Alligator mississippiensis: one gene and its partner. The protein of the gene in region 2 binds, or shares a complex with, the protein of the main gene of each other region. Links are inferred from orthologs where the notes say so. Each region holds a gene or a part of one and is shown on either strand. Other genes may lie near its edges. The genes, in order: MAPK10 and ATF2.

What was found.
Region 1: the proteins of ATF2 (region 2) and MAPK10 are in contact, whole or in part, in a crystal structure (PDB 4H36), measured with the Homo sapiens proteins. The link is inferred for Alligator mississippiensis from reciprocal best matches to the Homo sapiens genes ATF2 and MAPK10. Residues at the interface, in NP_001243019.1 of Homo sapiens: Lys48, His49, Met51, Thr52, Leu53, Lys54, Phe55; in NP_620448.1 of Homo sapiens: Asp150, Ala151, Gln155, Met159, Glu164, Arg165, Tyr168, Val197, Lys198, Ser199, Asp200, Cys201, Trp362, Glu367.

Annotation. Positions count from the first base shown.
Region 1 is NC_081825.1:149,719,697-149,727,485, reverse strand, and holds the start of MAPK10 (mitogen-activated protein kinase 10), read left to right. Parts: upstream 1-4,587; 5' UTR 4,588-4,625; intron 4,626-7,789. UniProt on the Homo sapiens protein: Serine/threonine-protein kinase involved in various processes such as neuronal proliferation, differentiation, migration and programmed cell death.
Region 2 is NC_081827.1:209,822,224-209,830,325, reverse strand, and holds the start of ATF2 (cyclic AMP-dependent transcription factor ATF-2), read right to left. Parts: upstream 3,001-8,102; 5' UTR 2,903-3,000; intron 1-2,902. Other genes in the region: ATP5MC3 (ATP synthase F(0) complex subunit C3, mitochondrial), read right to left, coding at 7,148-7,262. UniProt on the Homo sapiens protein: Transcriptional activator which regulates the transcription of various genes, including those involved in anti-apoptosis, cell growth, and DNA damage response.

The DNA of each region.
Region 1 (7,789 bases), on a different chromosome or scaffold from region 2:
TGATAAAAGGAAAAGTAAGTGACATAATTATTAAAGTAATGCTTCACTCATACCATTTACTTGTGGTTTTATTTATTTAGCTCTAATGCAGGGCCTGGCTCTGCCATCTTTGCTTAAGCTGAGCTGCATTCTGCTAATAGTCTAGTTCAGGGGTAGCCAACCAACAGCACATGTGTCCCAAGTGGTGCGGGCAACCTTTTTTTTTTGTTTGGCATGTGGAAGACTGGGAAAAGGACATTCAGCACAATGGCATATATGACAGGGAGCAGAAAGCAGAGCACCAGATCAGGCAGGCAAAGGGGATCAGAGTGGCACTCAGGGAGGCTGCAAGGCAAATTTGTGGCACCCCTGCCAAAAAAGGTTGGTCCATTTGGTCCAGTTAAGTCAGTTTAGGTCCTTGCAGAACAAGGACTGTTCAGCATTAAGTGAAAACAGCAGAACAAAGCCCACAGGAAAAATGTTGTAGATTCAATAATAGTACTAGTTTAAAATATCAGATGTGTTTTACTATGGAAGCAAATTAAGTGTCAGAACATCCATATCTAGAATACTGGTGTTCTAGCTCCTTTTTTACATTTTCCTGTTTTCTCTTTCTTTCATTCTTCTTTTTTATAAGTTATTCTTTCCTCTTATTGTAGCTTCCCTGAGCCTTTGTTGGGAAGAGAAGCATATAAATTGAATGAATGAAGAAACAAATAAATAAATATGGACTATCCTTTCCCATATGGATGTCTGCATATATACTTGCCCTGATTTTAGTTACACAAAGAATTGGCACCTTTAAACATGGAAGAACAGCACTGCCATTCCTCATTATGCTTATATAAGCTTCACAGTGTTAGGTGTTTTTTGAAAACTCCAGACATGAGAATCAACAGCTCTAGTTCCTGCATGAAAATCTATTTTTGTTTAAAAAAAAAAAAAAAAAAGTGGGGAGAGGAAGCTCTAGTCCTCCTCCTCCAAGATTGTGGAGAAAAGCTTGAAAACATGAAGCAAGTGTACCCTAAAGCCTCGTACATCAGAGGGCAGTTAAAAAAGCCCCCCACCAATACATTACTACTTTTTTTTTAATTTTTTGTTTTTAACTCAATATCATGATATTTGGAGGCCTTGCTCATGACTTTTATATGCAGGGAATTAGTAAGATTGAAAACATTCCTTAGTGCAATTATAAACGTTAGCTATTACTGACTTATCTGAAAACAGTCCTTGCCAAAAGGTGACTGCCTTAGAGTCTCAGCTTTAGGAAACAATATTGTATTCTATAAATCTAAAAGCATAATAATATATAATCTCCCATTATGGTAGATACTGCTAGTTAGGGTTATGCAAAGCTTCGGTCCCTGATTTGATTTGGCCTGATTTGGTGGCCGAATCTCTGAATCTGAATTGAATCCGGAGACCCTTTTAATCTCTCCGAATCGAACTGGAACCCTCCAAATCAATTCGGAAAGATTCAGCAATTTGGACATAGACACAGTTTTAAATGTATTTTTTCCACATATCACAAGGAACCAGGCGGCTTGTGAATGCTGGGGTAGATGGAGTGCGCTTGGCAGCAGACCCAGAAGTGGACCAGAAGCACTTCTGGGTCACCAGGGAGTGTGCTGGGGGCTCCCCCACACCCTCCCCAGCTCAGTGACTGGTGCCTCCTGGGTCTGGGGGGGCACCTGGAGTCCCCTCGCAGCCAATCGCAGAGCCAGAAAGGCATGGAGGGACCCCACAGCATGCTCCCCAGCGGACCTGGTTCACCGCCGAGCACATGGAGACTGCCGCCCCCACCCCGGCGCGCTCCTGTGGGACACTTCATCTGCCCTAGCATTGCAGCGTTCACAAGCTGCACCTGGTACCTTGAGGTATGTAGAAAAAACATCTAAAGCTGTGTCTATGGCTGAATTGCCTATTCTCTGAATCAGCATCTGAATCTTCAGATTCAGAATTGGCCGAATCGAATCAGGACAGTGGTCCAAATCGAGAAATTGAATTACAGTCCTCAATTTTGGGCTGAATCTGAATTGAATATGGCCCATTTCACCACCCTTACTGCTAGTGTTTTGGTGGTGGAACAGGTTTGGCAGCATCATTAATTTAGGGTAATTGCTGGATTTAAATGTTCAGGTCTAAATACAAAACAATGTGGAATCCACTTAGTTTGGAACTTGGAATAATAGAAAGTTAGGGTTGGAAGGGACCCCAGGAGGTCATCTAGTCTAACCACCTGCTCAGAGCAGGACCATCTGCAACTAGATCATTCCAGCCAAAGCTTTGTGTAATCGGGTTTTGAAAACCTCTAAGGATGGAGCTTCCACCACCTCTCTAGGTAACCTGTTCCAGTATCTTACTACCCTCCCAGTGAGAAAATTCTTAATATCTAACCTAAACTTCCCTTGCTGAAATTAGAGAAGTTGCTCAGCCCATAAACAAAAATTGGAAAGATTCATGAGCTATGGTGAGGTGTTGGGTCAGGACCTTGGTATGTCAGTGCCTCAGTAAGAGGCATGGTTGATGCTCACATAGACATTTCGGAGCTGTCTTTTATTTAGCTACTGTATCTCATGACAGATGACACAGCATGGGTTTCAGCTGCTGAGCAAGTGCCCAGAGTTTTTGTACAGCCCATGCTGCTATGGTTTTGTAGCTATTGGTACCCAAGCTACATAAAATATAAACTAGCCCCGGCATTTCTACATCAGGCGAATGTGCCTCTGATTCCTGTACAGATGTACATTGGGATTCCCTCTTTTCTTTGTCAGCTGGCAAAAGAGGAGGCAAAGGGGGTTACAGTTTTCATACATATAGCATGTAAAAAATCCCAAACTTTATTAAAAGAATGTCATTTAAGTTTCAAAGGGCATGTCTACATGTCACCCTATGGAAACATAGCACCATGCTATTTCACCATACAATGCACTATGACAACGTTGCGATCACATGGGTCTACATATGATCACCTACTATGTCTCCATAGCAGTGCACTCCCCACTTACAGCGTGCTGCTACGGCCACGTAGTGGGAAAATTGAAGCATGTGCCACCCATATGGCACAGTACCTGCCTGTACGGGTGCCATGCTTTAGTAGTTTTTGAAAGGAAGCACTAAAGCACAGCAATGTTGCCATATAGCGACATGTAGATGTGTCCAGTCTAGCACTCAAGTTTGATAATTTGGCCAACCTTATTTCCACCTTCTTCCTCTCTCCTGCCTTAACTATCCTGTGGATTGAATGAAACAAAGGCCCTGTAAGACCTATATAAGCACATAATTACAGGCTATGTTATGGAAAAATTAATACAGGCAACTGTAAATGTGGCATTGGCTAACTTCTGAATGCTTAAGTATACAGCCTTACCTGCTTAGTTTTATTTTTTGTATGAAATTTCTTATGTTTTATTAAATATGTCCTGCTATTTGTCTTTTGACAATCATCCCATCATGCATCACTAGCATGGCTTGCACCTTGAAAGTGCAGCACAACAACCCAGCATTTTGTTGTTTGAGCTACAGGGCAAACTCTGTCAGCTGGATAACAGAAGAAGGCTCTAGTTTCCAGTATCAGGATGTGGCCATGAGCTAGATGTAAGGGTGTAGAGTTAGTGGGAGCCCATTGTGGCCTGCCCATTGCTCACTATTCCCTAGAGTGATGGATAGGATGCTGGAACCATCTCAAAAAGGAATAGCTTGGAGGGCATGGGTGCATTTCAACCTGGCTGTTTGGACCTTTTATCATAGCAGAAGCAGGTCAAGTGTTTCCAGAGTGGTGTGGCTCATTCACTTGAGGTACATCTAATGTTTTCCTAAAAATACAAAATTCCAAGTGGATCTAAGACAGTAAAAGATCTGTGAACTGTATCCCACCAGTTATAACCAGGCATACCAAAATTCTGGAATTTCATGCATCTCTAATCTTAATATCCTGGCATCAGTACCTTCCTAAGAAGTAGTTTATAAGGATAAGATTAAACAATTCCAAATTTTATAAATTGAGACAGATCAATTAATCTCTCCCTCATCTAAAAAAGCCTAAGGGTAATAATAAGATTTCCAAATCATCTGAGGAAGAACAGTAAATTCACATTTGCTCTACATCTTAATAAAATTAGCTTATTGAATAGCATTATAAATATCAGACAAATGTAGAGATATCACAAATCAGTCACCATATTTTAATAGGTATTAAAAATGCAGCTGTGAAGTCTCACGTTTAAATCAGCTTTTCTTAAGACAGAATTTTATTTCAAAGCCCACTGTCTTAAATGGTTGGTTGTTTCTTTCACATAAATCTGAGAATTTGAGATTACTGAAAAAGTCCTAATTTCTTTCCTTATTGTATATTTCTGGGATTTTTACACATAACTGTCTTAGCCATGGAAAATCATTATTTGATGGCAGACTGTCACAGAGCACTGAGGTGCCTTGCTCCCATAGAGGGGAAAACTGCTAGGGAAGAAGCCCTAGAAGGGAATAAGGAGCCCAGCTGTGGGTTGCCAGGGCAACCAGAGAAGGTCAGCTGACCCTAAGGGGCAGGGCCTGGCTCTTATAAAGCCCAGGAGCTGAGGCCAGAGGCAGTTCCCTGCCAGCAGCCAGGAGCTCTCTAAGCCATGATGCGAGGAGAAGCCTAACTGCAGGTACAGCTAATGGCAGCTCTAAGAGGCTTGAGCAAAGTTGTTATAGACAGGCGGCTTATGTTTAAGTTATAGCCAGGAGGCTCGAGTTTGTGTTGCTGTTTGTTACACTGGTGGTGTGGGTGAGGCTATAAGGGGATGGAGGAGGCCTCATAGAGGACTCACAGTGGAGTGTGAGGACCCCGGCGCCAGCGGGTACAGCACACGGGGTGCATAGACCCCAGCCCGAGAGAGGGACGTTTGAGAAGCCCCAGGGCGGGTGTGGTGAGCCCCTGAGAGGGGGCAGCTTTACTGGGAAGCCCAAGGGTGGGCACGGAAAGCCCCAGGAGGGGGCAGCATTGTAGAAAGGCCCCAGAAAAGAGGGCACAGAGTGAGAGGGGGCCGGAGGGAGCCCTAGCACCAGAGGGAGTGTGCAGTAAAGGAAGGAAGGCCCAGGGAGAACAGTAAGGGGCCAAATAGCAAGAGAACTGAGACAACAGCGATTCCCATCAGCGAGGTGTGGACTGCGGTGTAGGGGAGGAAATGGAGCCACAGATAGCGCCCCCTAGCAGCGGGGCAGTATAAGGGCAGCCTCCCGCTAATTAATAGTAATTAATTAAGATCAAGGCATGGCAGGCAAGTAGGCGGGCGGTTGCCCCAGAGACAGGTGTGTGGGCCACATTAAGGGCGGCCCAGAGCAGATACCTGTCACAGACATGGGGCATGTCTCTACATGCAGGGGCATGAGTTGCCCCTGCACAAATAGCAGTGACACCTTTTTGTGCTTCTGCTTTGTGCCCCTGGGCATGCTCCAGCATGTGCCAAAGTGTCCCGGGGCAGGGATGGGGGGAAGTGTGTGCTTAGGGGAACCTAGGGCAAGCACCTGTGAAGGTTCCAGCAGCTTTACCTGGGATCATGGGGGCCTCCTGGGGCAGCAGTGGTGCCAATCCTGCCTCACAGAGGCAGGTGCTGCTGTGTGCACCATACCACATCACTTTTTTTTTTTGGGGGCAATTTTGTTTGTTTGTTTGTTTGTTTATTTTTTGACACCAGGATCTTTGAGGCACTGTAAACTGCATGTGCATGCTCATCTGGATGCACCCATGGAGTTTAGCTGTGAAATTTGTAAGGAAGTAATGATACAAAATGGTGACAGATGACAGAACAAGGAGCAATGGTCTCAAGTTGCAGTAAGGGAAGTTTAGGTTAGATATTAGGAAGAACCTTCTCACTAGGAGGATAGTAAAACACTAGACTAGGTTACCCAGAGAGGCTGTGGACTCTCCATCCTTGGAGGTTTTTAAAACCTAGCTAGACAAAGCTTTGGCTGGAATGATCTGGTTGCAGATGGTCCTGCTTTGAGCAGGGGGTTGGACTAGATGACCTCCTGAGATCCCTTCCAACCCTAATTTTCTATGAAAATACTTGGATGGTAAATAAGTATTTGATGGTATAATATTCTGCCAAAAAACCCAACCTTCATAGAAAGGATATGTGGCATTGTTGATAAATAGTTTATACAAAAGTATAGTGGTTACAGTGTTTTTATTAGAGATGATGAACATGGGAGAAATCCCCAGATTTGAATGCTTCTTCCCTCCTTCTCTTGCCTTTTCCATGGAAATCTCAAAAATTAATATTTTCCAAGTAGTTCAAATTAAGTATAATATGTGAGGGTTTTTTTTATAACATGCACGTGCGCACACACACAATAAGAAATGCATGTGATTTATAAGATATATTTCTTATCTTGTGTTTGTGTAATATATATTATACACACATGCATATATGAAAAGTTAATATTAAGAGTATAATGGAGAAAAAACAAACAATTTTCAAGTTTTTATTGTCTTGTCTTTACATTCAGGCTCTCTAGCTGATGTTGAGTGCTCTCCTATATTTTGATCTGTGTTCTACTTCTCATTTTATCTTGTATTATTACATATTTTGGTTATCTCTTGCAAGCCATCCTGAAGTGATGCATTTCTTTGCAGATTTTTATTTGTTGTTCTTGAAACTTGTGGAGCTATCTTCCAAGACTAATGAACTGAGGTTGTCTGGGGTCTATTTTTTTTTTTTTAAATCAGCGTGCACTTTCAAAGCTTTGTTTGTATATAATTGTATTAGCAACTAAAATATCTCTATATGTAAGGGTACCTAGAAATGTATTCATAGTGATTCACTTGGTTCTAAAACCAAGAAGTCAGGGTTTTTTAAATAGATAATTAGGATTGGAAGGGACTTCAGGAGGTCATCTAGTCCAACCCCCTGCTCAAACCAGGAGTATCCCCAACTAGATCATCCCAGCCAAGGCTATGTCAAGCCAGGTTTTAAAAATCTCCAAGAATGGAGATTCCACAACTGATCTGGGTAATCTGTTCCATGCTTTACTACCCTCCCAGTGAGAAACATTTTCCTAATATCTAACCTAAACTTCCCTTACTGCATCTTGAGACCATTGCTTCTTGTTCTCTCATCTGCCAGCACCTGAGAACAGTCTAGCTCCATCTTCTTTAGAATCACCCTTCAGGTAGTTTGAAGGTTGATATTAAATCCCACCTCAAACTTCTCCTTTTTAGATTAAATAAGCATAGTGACCTCAGCCTCTTCTCAGAATGGTTAGACTCCAGCCCCCCAACCATTTTTGTTGCCCTCCACTGAACTCTCCAATTAGTCCACATCCTTTCTGTAGGGGAGCAGGGGGGCCAAAACTGGATACAGTACTCCAGATGGTCCTCACCAGTGCTGAATACAGGGGGGGGGGGGGGGGGAGATCACTTCCCTGAATCTACTGGCAATGCTCCTACCAATGCATCCCAGTATGTCATTAGCCTTCTTTGCAACAAGGACACACTTTTGGCTCATATTCAGCTTACTGATCACTGTAACCCCCAGGTCTTTTTCTGCAGAGCTGCTGCCCAGCCAGTTTGTTCACAGTCTGTACCAGTATATGGGATTGTTCAGTCCTAAGTGCAAGACTTTGCACTTGTCCTTATTGAACTTAATGAGATTTCTATTGGTCCAATCCTCCACTTTGTTGAGGTCTCTCTGAATCCTAGCCCTGCTGTCCACGGGATCTACTACTCCCCTTAGCTTGGTATCATCCACAAACTTGCTGAGGGTGCACTCCATCCCGTCTTCCAGACTGATGAAGATATTTAACAAGACAGGACCCAGGAACAACCCCT
Region 2 (8,102 bases):
TTGGTAACAGAAAACTAAAAAAAACCCCTCTAATTTCTTTAGTATTTTAGTTGCATTTATCTTTGATCTTGCCTGTGAAAATAATAAAGATATGTCTGAAAGAACTGTAATTTCTAGGTTAACAACATCCCACTAATACAAAGACAGTCTGTACTTCAGAATATATATCATTTCCATTCTTATTTATTAAGTTCTAGAATAACATTCAAAATCTCTGGTAAAGATTGGGTTTTGTTGAGCTAGAGGTACAAATAAGTAGGAAAGCAGTCCTAGCCCACAAAAACTTAAGAGTCTACTTTACAAAAAAATGCAACAAGTGGGTGTCACCACAACAGGGAAGGATTGGTGGTGGAAAACAGGTAAAAGTAATATGACCAAACATTTAAGGTGAGTTGTGTACACCACACAGTGCTTGTTCCAGTGCAAATTTTTTGTGGCAACTTTACATGTTAAATGTTTTTAAAGTGGTGTAGGGACAAGCTGAGCTCAGAAAAATCAAAACCAAGACGACACCAAGTGCGAATGAAAGATGCATCTTTCTGGATCCATGCCTAGGTATCCATATGCAATTAACACAAAGAAAAACAGACTAATGTCTTATAATGGAACAGGACCTTGGCATAAGCACACCTGAATCATACCTGAATGACAAAAGTCAGTAGAATACAGTATTACCTAAGTGTAACCTTTATAAGACACAGAATGTGCTGCGGAGATGTAGAAATGGAAATACAACCAAAAGATTTTATATAATCAAATCATACAGCATTTCTGAGTAGGAAACAGTACTCAGAAGATATAGTTCACCTATAAAATCCAGAACAAATACACCAAGAAGTTTATATTACTGCTCTCTGAATCAGGCTATAATAATGACCTATTATTGTGCAATATTAACTACCCAAATATAAACTCATCAGTGAACATGGTGACTCACTCCACTTCTCCAAAAATGTTATTTCATTAATGTTATTTCTGTAATTAATGATCATATTTGCCAATAAACTTTTATGGAACAGGGAACCCCAGTAAAGTTTTCTTTGGACCAGGTTGCAGCGAGACCCTTATATTTTGTAATATGCTATGTACCCGCATAGGTACTTAGCTTTACTACTGTGACTAGTTCAACCAAAATCAATGAGACTATTCTTAGTAGTAACCTTAAGCAGGTGCATAAGTGCATATAAATGTGAGTAAGTCTCTCTAAACAACCTGTACAAAACATCCTTCAATAAATGGTTCAAGATATTATATTCTGGAAAACAATTACGGAAAAAATGACCATACAGAAGCTTTCTTTCTTATCCCATCATTTAAATAGTGATTTATGCTCTAAAGCAGTGGCACTCAAACTTGTTAGACTCAAAGCACCCCTTGAAAATGTCAGCTCTTAGCCTTTACTTGAAAAGGCCAGAAAAACAGAATCATTATTCTATTTCAAAGAACTGAGAAAGACCAAAACAGGCCAAAACGTTTAGGACACGATGGGTACATCCAAATGAGCACAGTCATATGGTATATGGTGCCGCAAGCACATTTGCAGCACCACATACCATACAGTCCAGCATTCTTTGTGCTGCAAGGGTGCACTGCCTGAATGTGCGCTGCTCCATTTTTTTTCATTGTGGGGTTTTTTTGACCCCTAGATATCCAGGGGTAAAAAAACAAACAAACAAAAAAACCCAGAAAAAAACTTGAAGCAGTACATGCTCAGGCAGCATGCAGCGCAAGGTCCGCTACCAAACTTCCATGCACAGCTGGACTCGCTCTACGAATTCTTATTTAAAAACCTCAAGGTTTAGCTTATGAATCACTTGTAGATACTTGCATATCTAACCATGCTTGTATGTGGCAACTTGAAAAGTATCTCATGGTGCCCTGGTTGAGGATCACTGCTCTAAAACACAACAATTTAGAACTCAGATCACAACAATATTTTTCATTAGCCACATACATGATAAGTCCAACCTAACTTATTCAACTCAAATAGCTTGAAGCAATAAAGTGGGTGCTTGCCACGATTCATTCACAGGAGCATGGGAAGGAAAAAAACAAGATTTGGCTAATGGAAGGTCGAAGGCCGCACCCAAAAAGCCTCATTTATTTAGAGGACAAAGATAATCTTGTGTGTGTTAACTGGAAGGGCAAAGAAAGAGCAGAATATCTTTATTTCAGAAATGAATGAACTGCTTGAGGAACAGAGAAGTGAACCACCCGTGTGCAATGGGGCAAGTCCCTTTCGGGGTCAGGGTTGGGGGTGAAGAGGTTGGGGCAAGAAGGGAACGGGAGGCAGGAGGTGTGACAGCTCCAGCCCCGCAGCTTGCCAGCCCAGCAGCACAGGAAGCCTGAGGGAAGATCCGCAACGTGGGAGCACCGCAGCTTGTCATCACCCCGCCGCCGACCCCAGCTCTTGCAAGAAGTCCCCGGGCAGAGCGGAAGAGAGCGACACCTCGCAGAGTAGCGGGGCGTCGGGGCCAGGCAGGTAAGACACTCACCGGCGCATCCCCCGCAGGGCCGGCCCGGCGGCTCCCGCGGAGGGCGCAGGCCCCCACCGCCCGGCGGATGCAGGTGAAGCCCGGCCCGGCCCGTCCCATCCCCAGGGCCCGCAGCGCTTCCGGGTAGGGGGCGACAGGCTCGCCCGGCCCGGCCCCCCCCCGAGCGACCCTCCTCCGCGGGCGGTCGCTGCCCCGGGGACGGCGGGGCAGGGCCCGCGGTGGGGGAGGGGGCCCCTCCGGAGAGCGGCGGCGGCGCCATATTACTACCTCCCGGGCACCCCCGCCTACCCGGGGCCGCTCCCCGACCGCAGACCGGGCCCTGCAACGCCCGCGCCTCCCCGTCGCCTGCGGGAACGAAGGCACCACTGCCGCGCCCGACCCGGCCCGCGCTCTGTTTACAAACTCACCCCCGGAGCACGGCCCGAACCGCACATTAAAGCCCAGGTCCCCCACAGGCTTCCGTCACATCTCGCGAGACCTCGCTGACATCTCCCGAGCGCTGCTAGGGGAGCTGGTCACGTGACACCGCGATGGGCAGAGAACCCAGCCCCTCTCCGATTGGCTGGCGGGGGCTGGGCGCGCGGCGACACCGGACTTGTCTGTGTGGCCGGAAGCGCTGAATGACTGGGTGTGGCTGGAGCTGCAGCGCGTTTGCTGCCGCAAGCTAAGCAGGAACTGCGCTCGCTAGTGTGTGGATGGGAAACCAAGACTGCACCTTTTGTGCTTGAGGCGTTGCTTTTTAAAAATAACAAACAAAAAAACCTTTAAGGCTTAGTACTGAAAAGATAGATTGAGGTTGAGTTCATCAGATACAGCAGGGGCTCCTTTATTCCCACCCCCCAAAAATCACCCACCCTCCCATTCCTATTTAACTAGCCATCCCCACCTTCCCGTCTCCCTCCAAAAGGATTGCTGCATCTTTCTCTACCCTATGCCTCCGTTCCCCCTCGACCTATGCTAGTGCCCCTTTTCTCTCATCACACAGGTTTTGTATTTTCTCTCCAGTGTTAACTGCACCTGTGAATCTTGTGGCCTCTTTCCAGATACCCAGCTTAGGTCTCTGGCCTCCCATCATCACTTGCCTTCCTTTCCCTCTTCCCCCAGCAGTTCTAAGGCAATTCCATCCTGTGACCAAGTTCAGTTTGGCCCCTGGAAATCCAGAGATTTCCAGGGACACCGGCAGCTTCAACCCCTGACCAGGCAGCTTTCACAGAGCAGAGTACTGCCCTATTTGTTTAATACAATGCCAGAGAAAACTTTACATAAAACAATTGACAGTTTATACCTGGAGTAAGCTTGTTGGGTATTACCCATCCTCTCCCTAGCTGCCTAGCAGATACAGCATATAATTTTGTAGACTCCTTGTTCCATTGTGCACATTATCCTCCCTTTCTATAGCCACGGCTTAGTTTGCAGACCTTTGTCTTGCTGGGCCTCCTGAACCTGTACAGCCAATTAATGATATTTCCCTCCATAGAATGAAGTTTCCAAGGGCTGGGCATCTACACAATTACCACTGGCAAATTGCATCAACTACTTTCCCCAGATAGGGAAGCTATGAGGAACACAAAAATACATTTAAAACTTAGGACAAACCCTTTGGGTGGTAGATACAGTAATACAATCAATCTCAAGACAACAGCTTGCGATTTCCTTGTGGCTTCTGGAATATTGCACCTGCAATTGCTCCACCCACCAGAGATCCCCGTGCCCCTCAGTCCAGAATCTCTTTCCCCACATGGCAGGGGCTGTGCATGTATTTAAAGCAAGAGAGAGACAAGGGGCCCTGGGCAAACGTACATCTTATATCAAGTTTCTCATCAGTAGATTTCAAAGTGCTGCACAAGGGAGAGATCAGTACCATTATGCCCCCTCCCCCTACCATATAAGCAACATCAGTTGGCACGTCTAAAAAAAGATGAGTTTGATCTAATGTAATAATGAAATACCATTACATAATTTTGTTTTTTGAAATTTCCCCCAAAGTTTCCATTGGAAAATTTCCCCCAAAGTTTCCAGTGGTGCTGGCTCCTACCCTGGGGGTCTTTAAGGGGTTAGACGAACACCTTTTTCCTGCACCTTTTTAGACGAAGTACTTTTTCCTGCCATGGCAGGGTGTTGGATTTAATGATCTGCTCAGGTCCCTTTCGACCCTACCAAATATGAAACTATATGATTGGACAGGAAACAGAAAACAGAGCAGCAGATCAGGGAGGGGAAAGGGTGCAAAGTAGCACTTGGGGAAGATGTGAGGCTAATTTGTGGCACACTTGTCAAAAAGATTGTCCCCCCCCATTACTCCAGGGCGTGGAATATATCTTAAATTGTATTGAGGGTAAAGCAACAGATTTGTCCTTTTCAAACTATTTTAAGAATTAGGAATACTAGGAGAAAGGGCATATTATATAAGCAGGCCCTTTATATAATAAATCATTATTGATTGTAAATGAGTTTTGAAGGATTTGGACTCTGAGGTAATAGAGAGCTTATGTCTTTCAACTACATACTTCCCGTCTTCCAAGAGCTTAAAAAAAACCTCCTCACAGTGCCAAATACTAAAGGAATGGCATTGAGTATGTTTTAAAATTATTAATCTTATTTTAAACAGAAGTCAGAGATATATTCTCTAACATCTTTAAAACAATGATGCTGGATACCAAGGAGGGTAACACATAGGATAGATTGTTCTAGATATACCAACTTCAGTGCTGTTCCTTTAACACAGTGATTGTCAACCAGGGGGCTAGGGCATCCTAGAGTGCCACAAGATCCTTTGAAGGGTGCCCCAGAAAGTGTGAGGAAATAAGCAGGTAATGACAAGCTCAGATTGCAAATGTAAGAAGATAAACAAATAAGGGCATCACTCTGCATAGCCACATCACCATTCCCATTGTCTGACTCCTCTGCAAGGAGGTAAGCACTGTAATAAATTAGTTTTTGAAGTGGGATGCCAATAAAATCAAAAAAGTTATGCAGAGATGCCTCAAATCTTACATGGGGTGCCTTAAATCTAAAAAGTTGAGAACCAGTGTTCCAACACACACATTTTGGTGACCGTCAGACACAGGCTACTGGGTTAAATGGATAATTGGCCTAACCCAGTATGACACTTACTGTGTTCTTGTTAGGTACTGGTTGTTATCACATGGGTTGCAGCACCAGTTACAATGAACTATGCCCTTCAAATCTAGGCCATTTTGAGACAAGGGAAAGGTAGCTATATGCTCAAGGGCAATGGGGAGAAAACAAGGAACAGGAAAGAAAGAGGGCAGAGAGTGAACACTAAGAATGAGGAAAGGATGAGGAAATTTGGATCCATCCAAAGTTAAAGCTGACTTTAGTGGCAGCAGTATTTCCACTGAGGCAGGGCTGAGAGTCAGTTGACTTATGATTTATTATAATCTACCTGATTCCTTCTAAACTTTTCATTCAACAGATGTTAACAACTCTTTTTTTAATGGTCTTGACAGCTATCCTTTGTTCTGCTTTCTCTTAGGAGCTTCATTAGCAGGAGCAGCTATTTCACAACCCTGCAGATTGTTTTTAACTCATTCCAATTAATTTAAGATTGAAGGAAAAACAAATGCAACTTAATACAGGCCCAGGCCCCTACCATATTAAAAGGAAACTATATGCTTTACTACCAAGAGAAAATTGTGTTTTATATGTGATGATACACATCACTTAGTGTGTACTTTGTACAGGTAGTTTTCTCCAGGAATGACTAGATTATGGCAGGAAGAGATGTTTTTGGAGGGTCAAAGTTAGCAGAACAGTATGTGCATTAAGTTACACCCTTCAAGTGACTGCAAATACTTTGAGCTTTCAAAACAATCATTTCTGAAAGTCTGCAAGTATCTGGCCCTCTGGTTCTAAGCAAGGAAAGCAATATGATCAAACTCTTTCACATTGGTGCTATTATCAAAGTTACTGTTCAAGAACCTCCCAAGCCTGAAAGAGCCCATTTCAAAAAAAGGGGTCTAGAATTTTTGTTCTTGTTAAGTTTCCACCATTGCCCTGACTTCACCATAACAAACAAATTGTCTGTTGCCTGTACGCTGAAGCAATTTGACTTCATGTTTTGTAGCAGCTATGAAGCAATGTTGTCATTTGTAGATTGCTTAGATCCTTAGATGTGCAATAAGCCTCAGCATGTATAAAATGGCAATACTAACCACTAAATCAGACGTTAGATTAGCAATAGAAAATGCTGGTTTTGGTAACAGCTAGGAGCCTTCTTTGGGACTTTCAGTGTTATCTGAAGTCATTACAAATTTCATAAACTTAAGAAATCTCTTTTAGATTTGAAGGCCAAAGTGGTAGACACACAGCATTTAGACTAAAAAGGTGACATGCAGCATTGTGACCAAATAGAGAACACCACTTTTGTTCTGTTCTACATTGTGTGGCTGGAGGTCAGCATATGAGCACTCAGTGTTAAGGGGAAAATCAGAAACAAGTGTCTAACAGTTCCATCCAAAGTGTTCGAATTAAAGATGAAGGTCATAGCTAGACAGTTAGAGATAGTCTTTAATGACATGACTTTGGAAATAATGTACATTTCCACAACACCAACATTTTGAGAGTCCCGGCAAGATGCACAGAATTACATTTGTAATTTACTAATGCCAACATCACAAGCAGATCTCTCTTCACATGGCAAACAGGATTAAGAAAGCAACCATCAGGCAGAAGAGACCCATAGCTTCAGACAGGGCAAATCCCAGGATAGCATATGAGAACAGCTGCTGCTTCAGAGAAGGGTTTCTAAAAGAGAATGCATGAGAGGTATTAAATGCTTTATATTTATGAAGATGCAACTCAAGTATCATTTGATAAATTTAAAAAGTTGTGGTTATGATGCAAGTTTTACAGAACGCTATAAAAGTGTCATAGCAGACAAAACAAAAAAAGAGAGACAAACTACACCTATACAAAAGGTAACATTAGTATCACTGTTACAGGCACTTCATTGAAGACTACATTAAGATAATGTAAGCTACATATCACTAAATTTGATTCTGAAATTAATGTCCAATTATAGAACAACCCTAAATTCCCTTTTATATTAAAAAAATTCACAACATTTTTACACCACTCAATTACAACTGAAAAAGCCTAGCCTGTGTAGGCTTCATGTCAAATATGCTCACCAGGAGAAAGAAAACCACCAGGTAGGGAATATCAGCTCAGGTTTTCTTGTTAAATTCCACTTGTGTACAGTACAGGAAGGAGTTCATTTGCACAACCAGACCTATCCTGAATACCTTTGCAATATTTTAAGCAGCTTGTAAACAAGCTACGCTGTTCAACTCTCTCCCTAGCCAAGATGGCGTTATCAGGTTCATTTGTTACGAAAATGCAGAGTATCTCCCTAGAAAGTATGGGAAGGAGAATATTTAAGTTTTTAATGGATTACCACCCTGCAAGTTGTGATGCAAGAGCGAGAAGTACCTCCATGAACTAGAGATCATTTTACACTTCTGCCAGTTACCAGTTGCAGTTTGAACATATTACTGCATGGGTACAATTGTGCATTTGCTAGATAACTAGGGAAAATTAGATTTGCCCCTCTTAAAGGATTTTCCTCTTCTCAAGCTTCTGCAG